2 linked regions of the Oryctolagus cuniculus genome follow. The protein of the gene in region 2 purifies or fractionates together with the protein of the main gene of each other region. This does not show direct contact. Links are inferred from orthologs where the notes say so. Each region holds a gene or a part of one and is shown on either strand. Other genes may lie near its edges.

Region 1 (3,810 bases), on a different chromosome or scaffold from region 2:
AGGCCAAAACTTGCCCCTTGAGTTACAAGTTGAATCCTGTTAGTTTATTCCTAACCAATGTTCTTAATCACAATGTTTCTTAACGGGTAAGGAAAATGGAATAATGTTGATTTCCATGATTTTGATACTGACTGTAATAAGTAGATGCCAAAAAAATTAAGTAAAACAAGCAAACAAACAACACCAACAATTCATCATTTTAAAAGAAAAATTTAGATATGGGACTAAATATTTTAAATTTTTTAAAGATGTATTTATTTATTTGAAAGGCAGAGTTATATATAGAGAGAGACATCTTCCATCTGCTGGTTCACTCCCCAGATGGCAGTGATGGCCAGGGCTGGGCCAGACAGAAGCCAGGAGCCAGGAACTTCATCTTGGCTTCCCACATGGGTGGCAGGAGTCTAAACACTTGGGCCATCTTCTACTGTTTTTCCCAGGCCATCAGCAGGGAGTTGTATTGGAAGTGGAGCAGCCAGGATATGAATTGGTGCCCGTTCGGGATGCTGGCACTACAGGTGATGGCTTTACCAGCTATGCCAATACCCGCCCCAATCTTTTTTTCTTAATATTTTATTTATTTCTTTGAAAGACAAAGTTAGAGAGAAAAGGAGAGACAGAGATCTTCCATTTGCTGGTTCATTCCCCAGATAGCCACATGGCCAAGGCTGGGCCAGGTTAAAGCCAGGAGCAAGGAGATTTTTCTGGGTCTCCCACATGGGTGGCAGAGGCCCAAGCACTGGGGCCACCTTTTACTGCTTTCCCAGGCCATCAGCAGGGAGCCAGATTGGAAGTGCAAATGGGCACCCATATAGGATGCCAGCACTGCAGGCGGCAGCTTAATTGGCTACATCACAATGCTGGCCCCCAGGACTAAATCTTAACTGGGAAGTCAAGCGAGAAAACTTACAAAGAAGCAATATCCAAAAGCTGTGAACATAAACAGAGAAGAGAAAATGAGTTTTGGAAAAAGTCTCATGGTAAAAAGTAAAAATAAGGAAGGATAACAAAGTAAGGAGTTGGAAAGGAGCCCCCAAAATGGAGGTCAGAGGATAAGGACTGAGTAAAGGCTTTTGGAGTGACAGGGAAACTAGTAATTTTTCTAAAAGCAATTAAATGGAAAGAAAGAAGCAAAATAGGAGTTAAGGAAAGCAACCAGGATAGTGTTCAAAGCAGAGCACAAAGACAATTTGCCAACTGCATTGCAAGACCAGAGGAAGACGTTTTTAGCATGCACATTTCTGAAATGCAGAGAAAGGAAAAAGGGGTAGAGAGACACCAAGTACAGAGAAGGGTGAATCAAAGAAACAGGCTCATTCTTTTATTGATTTAATAAGAAATTAGTGGGCACTATTATTTGGAGACACTATGTTAGACATGGGGAATGCAATGATAAGTAAAATTAATACAATTTCTGTCCTCAGAGAACTTAACTATCTAGTAGAACAATGGGCAACAAACAAGATGATAAATAATGGACTACAGTACGGGGCTTAGAAAAAGCCTAAAGTTCCTACATACACACACACACACACACACACACACATATATCAATATAGGAGAATCAAATTTAATCCAAGGCATCTTTGAAACAATGTCACTCTTGCCTACAGCAGAAATAAGAGATAACAGCATTTGAAGACCAGAGAGTTCTTCTTGCATGGACAAAGAGTTTGGGAATGAGTGGCCTTAAAGAAAGTAAGCTCTTAAGATAAATTGGAGGAACTAAAGAAACCGGAGCACAGGGAAGAGTCGGGAAGACCGGCATGATAAAGGAATGACTTCTTTTCCCTTAAACTATATTAGGAAACCACAGAAAAATTTTAGGTGGCAGAACTCACATTGTCTAAATTATGTTACAGAATATAAAGCTCACTCTGACGACTGTATGAAGATAGGATAAGGGGGCACAAAAGACACAGGCAAGAGTAGTAGTCTAGCCTTGGATTAAGGTAGTGAGGCAGCAGGTGATGGGTCAAGTAGCTGGGTCCCTGTCATCCATCTGTGAGATCTATACTGAGTTCCAGGCTGCTGGCTTGGCCTGGCCCATCCATGGCTGTTACAGGCACTTGACGAGTGAACCAGTGAGTGGAAGATATTTCTCTGCCTTTCAAATAAATAGTATTTAGGAAAAAATATTTAGAAAAGTCAAAAAATAGTATTTAGTATTTATAAAATAGTATTTTCTTAAAAAAATTTTTGCTTTTTTGGCACATTAGGTTTGAGGTATTTATCAAGCATCCATTTGGAAATATCTGCAGTTAAAAGACCTTAGACTAGACACATCCTTTAGGAAATCATTACCATAAGTCATATGGAAATGCAGAATAGTATCTGAGGAAGAGTAAAAGAGAGCAAAGAAATAATGGAGCAACTGGACGAGAGAGGAAAGTTCAGAAGCCACTAGATATTAGATTGCGTCCATATGTTGATAGAAATGATTTATCAGAGAGGTAATTCTGTTATTCTCATCAAAATATGAGATGAGTCCATCCAAAGTTAGGTAGATGTGAAATACCAGATTACCACATTAAAAAAAATATAAACCATGGATACCAAAGTTTATGATTTGGCAGGAATATTAACTAAGTGGTGAAAGAACAGGAAGCCAAACTGAGCTCAAAGGAAATCCACTCTAAAAGAATATAAACTTAATTAATCTTTGCAAGGTTGAAAAAAGTGCTAGTAAATCACAAACACCTAACTAAAAAAATAAGCTTGATTCATGTACAATCTCATCAGCCCTATTCATCTACTTTAAAATATTGCAAGTCACATGGTCAGTACAATTAAAATGTCTTTAAATTGCCTACCCAGCCACTGTTAGACACTGAAGTTCAGCAGCGATTCTTATAGGATGACTTGTTGGAATTAAGTGTTTCAGAGCAATTTTTTCCTCAGGTCCCACTTGTAACTGTGCTGTGGCCAAATAAACAGAGCTGAAAGTGCCTATAAAAACAATTTATTAGGTTTTTCAGTATTTGGTTTTAAGATGTTAATGAAAAAATGCTAAAATATACCAAAGAAATTGTAATGGTATTAGATTAAAACAGGCGTGTTCATTTTACTGTAAATATCAGTTACATTTTCATTCTTCCCAGGAGGAAAAAAAGAAAATCTATTACCATAATTAGTAATATAATCATGGTCATAATATTTAAAAAGCAGTATATTTTTCAATTTAAAAATAATGAAAATCAAAATTGCTCAAGGAAAAGGGAAAAGAACTTACACAGATAAGAAAGTTTACCCCCAAATTACCTTCTCCAATTTTGTCCTTAATCTTAAACACATTGCCAAGTTGTGGAACAGCTTCATAAAGCTTCTCAATATCCTTTTTAACACCTATCAAGGAAACAAAAATTTATGGTTACAATCAAGGAGAGTTTTTTTATAACTTAAATTAAAAAAACTCAAAGAGATAAACTTTAAGATACGAGTATTACAAATGAAAAGTTTTAATAAATCTCAAAATTATAACTAAAACTCTATAAAGTTGTTATAATTTATACTTTTTTCTTAATTTATTTATTTGAAAAACAGAGTTACATAGAGAAAAGGAGAGACAGAGAGGGCGAGAGCAAGAGAGAGCGAGCGAGCAAGAGAGCGCTTCTATCTGCTGGTTCACTCCCCAGTTGGTTACATTAGCCAGGGCTAGACCAGGCTGACGCCAGAAACAAGGAGCTTCATCTGAGTCTCCCATGTGAGTGGCAGAAGTGTAAGGACTTGGGCCATCTTTCTACTGCTTTCTCAGACTCATTAGCAGGAAGCTATATCAGAAGTGGAGCAACCAGGACATGAACCGGGGCC
Region 2 (3,810 bases):
CACACAGTTCTAACTCCAGCAAAGAGAGGGAACGCCGAGCGAGCATGTGGAAGACGGCAGCTGTTTCAAAGCCTCACGCCGCCCCCGCCAGCTCCGCCACCTGCAGGCTCGTTGCCAGGCCGAGCGGCCATGAGCTGTCATGAAACTTTTCTAGGCCAGGAGTCCCCACAGGGCGCGCAGTGAATGCCTCAGCGAGCCAGTGCACCCGGGGGTCTGCAGGGAGCACAGGGCCAAGGCAAGGGAAGAAAGGCAGTGCAAAGCTGCGGACGCGGCGAACGAAGTAACCAGGAGGCCGCCCCCTGCTTGTGGTTTCCAGAATGGCCAGGAAGAGAGCCTGGGTGGGTCATGGCTTTAGTGGAGCCGCCAGAGGCCGCGTGGGGAACCACCGCTGCCCGAGAGTTAGCAGGGCGACCTACCTCTGCCTTCTTCGGCTCCTGTTTCTTCACACAGAGAGACCCCAGAGACAGCTGCTGCACGTGCACCAACATCTCTGCGGAGAGGACACTGGGCTGCAGTCACCAGCTCGCACCCTCCTGGGCGCAGGGCTGAGGACGGAACGCCAGGCCAGGCCACACCCGCCCCATCTACCGGCCTGGCCTGCCACCTCCTGGCTGGGGGGCACCTCTGCACCTCCTGACAACAGAGGGAAGGGCTGGGCTGGGTCCTCGGCCTGACGCCGCGCTCACAGGAATCACCGGCGGCAGCTTCATTTGGAATAGGGGTACCTCCCGGGTCACCACGGACACTGAGGACCACTGAAGAGCTGCTCCTGGTGGGAGGCCAAGCAGGGCAGCTACTCAGATGTACCCCGGGGAGGAAGACCCGCTTCTGACCCACAGCAGGGCAGGACATGAGAACCAGTCACAAAGCGCTGGTTTTTTCAGGGAGACAGAGGCCCCCCCCCCCCCCCCAAGACCTGGAACTCTCCCCAAGTAACCTCTCAAGCCCCGTAGAAGATACTGACACCGGGGCCGGTGCTGTGGTGTAGTGGGAAAAGCTGACACCTGCAGTGCCGGCATCCCATAAGGGCACCAGTTCAAGTCCCGGCTGCTCCACTTCTGATCCAGTTCTCTGCTGTGGCCTGGGAAAGCAGTGGAAGGTAGCCCAAGCACCCATGTGGGAGACTGGGAGGAGGCTCCTGGCTCCTGACTTCGGATCAGCCCAGCTCCAGCCATTGCAGCCATTTGGGGAGTGAACCAGCAGATGGAAGACTCTCTCTCTCTTTGCCTCTCAAATAAATAAATATTAAAAAAAAAAAAAAAAGAAAAAAAAAAAGAAGATACTGACACCAAAGGGTGGGGTAGCACCCCAGACAGCACTTGGGGGCTTTCCCAGGTAGATCCACCCTAAAGCGGCTCAGTGAGGGTGAGAGCAGTTGCCGCCAGCGACTCAGGACAACAATCCCAGTGCCGCTGCTGACGGCCTGCAAGCAGGCTGTTTAGAGCGTGAGGCACCCCTACAGAGAAGAGAGGACACAGGGTTCACAGGCCGAGCTGCAGCGAGTCAGGGCCACAGCACTATGCCCAAGAGACCATGGACAGCTCCCTCAGTGCCTCGGGGGCTCGGTCTCCACCCCTGCACATGGGGACAGGCTTGTGGTGAGGATTCAGCGCGGTGACCGCTGGCACAGGGTGAGTGGCTGCTAAGGGGCTGCCTCCCTGTCTGCACGCTAGGACCATCACCCTGGCTGGAGAGGGGTGCTGCAGCCACAGCCGATGGCCTGTTCCTGGCACCTGCAGGCCACAGGCGTCCACGTTCTGCTGTTGTCACCCCCTCTCCCACCCCTCCACCTCTGCACAGCCACTTGGTGACAGTATTTTCGGCTTCCAGCTGCCAGGAGCGTACATAGCCATGAACCCTCTACCAGCTGACATTTCTGGCCCAAACCAACAACTGTGCCCTCCCCCGGTGCCCGGGGGAAGCAGTACCGTCCACGTGCAGGACCCGCACTCCCCAGGAGCGGGCGTTGGTCAGGAGGCTGCTGCTGCTTCCACTGCCGCCGCCGCTGCTGCTCCCCTGCAACGACAGAGACCGCCAGGCAGGACGTGAGACTCCCCGAGGCCTGACGGGGCAGGGGAGCGTCCCGCGGAGGGCCCTGGGTGAGCCGGGGCGTGGCGGGCGGGAGAAGGGCCTGGTGCCCAGAAGACACACCCTGCCCTGCACACGGGCTGGCCCCGTCAGCAGGACACAGCCTGCTGTGGCGACCCAGAACTGGGCTTCCAGGAGACCTGTCCGTCAGGAGGGCCTGTGCACGCAGCAGGGACACAGGATACACTGGGGACATCACAGGCACCGCTGAGCAGGACGCTGCTGGCAGCAGAGCTCCGTCTGCCAGCGCCTCTCCCTCCCCACAGCCACGATGCCCATCCCGATGGGACCTCAATGGCTCCGCTCACAGAATCACCTTCGCTCTTCCAGCTGCCATGTAACTAGACAAACAGCTACTGAGAAAACACGCCCCGAGTCTGGCCGACGCGCCCAGCAGCCACGTCCTGCCACATCTTCCAGGGCTCTCTTGGCAGGCTCGAGTGGAGCTGGCTCTGGCTCTAACGTCCCCAGGTGACGCGGGGAACTTCTCTAAGGAAAGGACAGCACGCCACCTGTCGCCGAGTGTGACTTCCGCGCGAGCGGAGAGGCCGCCTCCCTGTCCAGCGGTGCCAGGCACCCCTGCCCTGTCCTGCCCAGCTCACCTGCTTTCTGATGGCCTTCTGCAGCAGCTCTTTCCCTCTGCTCATGGGCACCTGGGGGAGAGAGCACAATGGGGTGTGCTGCGTGGCGCACAGCACGAGGGCAAACAGATGCTCACGTCTGAGCTGGTGCAGCTGCCATGGGGTCACGTCCCCCGGAAGCTAAGAGCAGAGACAGCTGAGATCAGCAGAAACGAGAGCCGAGAGAACCTGCAGGGGGCAAAAGTCCAGGTCACCCAGAGGGAGCTGCAGCTCGGGCCAGCTGCCTCCCGTGGGGAAGGCACCCACGCTCACTGAGGTCAAGGTGTGACGAGTATCACAACACCTCTTCTTAGAAGTTTGCATTCAAGTACGGAATGACTGTCCTTGTTTCACTTTAGAAAGGTTTTTTTTTTTTTTTTTAAATATTTATTTATTTATTCAAAAGGAGGAGATACAAAGAGAGAAGGCGAGAGAGAGAAGAGACAGACAGAAAGGTCTCCCACCCGATGGTTCACTCCCCAAATGGCCACAACAGCTGGGGCTGGGCCAGGCTAAAGCCAGGAGCCAGGAGCTTCTTTCAGGTCTCCCACACTGGTGCAGGGCCCAAGGACTTGGGCCATCCTGCGCTGCCCTCCCAGGTGCATTAGCAGGGAGCTGGATTGGGAAGTGGGGCAGCCAGAACTTGGACTGGCACCCATAAGGGATGCCGGCACTGCAGGTGTAGGCTTGACTTCTACGCCACCATGTGGGCCCCTAGAAAATCTTCTCCTGGTTCCTTGGAGCCTTGTGCCTCATAATGATGCCAATAGTGGATGTTCATGGACATTTTAAATAAAAAAAATTATTTCTTTCTTTTAAAGGCAGACTGACCAAGACGGAGGGAGACATGTTAACAGATACCTTCCTTCTATTAGTTTACTCCCCAAATGGCTGCAACAGGCAGGTCTGGGCCAGGCTGAAGCCAGAAGCCCAGAACTCCATCTCGCCCACATGGTAGCAGGGGCCCAGGCACTTGCCGCTGCCTTCCTAGGCGCATTAGCAGGGAGCTGGATTGGAAGCAGCGTAGCTGGGCTCGAATGGGCGCTCCAGCCCAGGAGATGTTGCCGCTGCAAACCTGCTGTGTCACCACGCTGGCCCCTGG

Evidence for each region.
Region 1: the proteins of DBF4B (region 2) and CDC7 purify together in Homo sapiens (affinity purification with mass spectrometry; 3 studies listed by BioGRID and IntAct, counting the BioPlex papers as one, with this or other methods). This does not show direct contact. The link is inferred for Oryctolagus cuniculus from reciprocal best matches to the Homo sapiens genes DBF4B and CDC7.

The regions. Positions count from the first base shown.
Region 1 is NC_091438.1:79,107,374-79,111,183, forward strand, and holds part of CDC7 (cell division cycle 7-related protein kinase), read right to left. Parts: intron 3,346-3,810; coding exon 3,262-3,345; intron 2,950-3,261; coding exon 2,814-2,949; intron 1-2,813. UniProt on the Homo sapiens protein: Kinase involved in initiation of DNA replication. Phosphorylates critical substrates that regulate the G1/S phase transition and initiation of DNA replication, such as MCM proteins and CLASPIN.
Region 2 is NC_091448.1:17,992,199-17,996,008, reverse strand, and holds part of DBF4B (protein DBF4 homolog B), read right to left. Parts: intron 2,742-3,810; coding exon 2,691-2,741; intron 2,017-2,690; coding exon 1,929-2,016; intron 491-1,928; coding exon 417-490; intron 1-416. UniProt on the Homo sapiens protein: Regulatory subunit for CDC7 which activates its kinase activity thereby playing a central role in DNA replication and cell proliferation. Required for progression of S and M phases.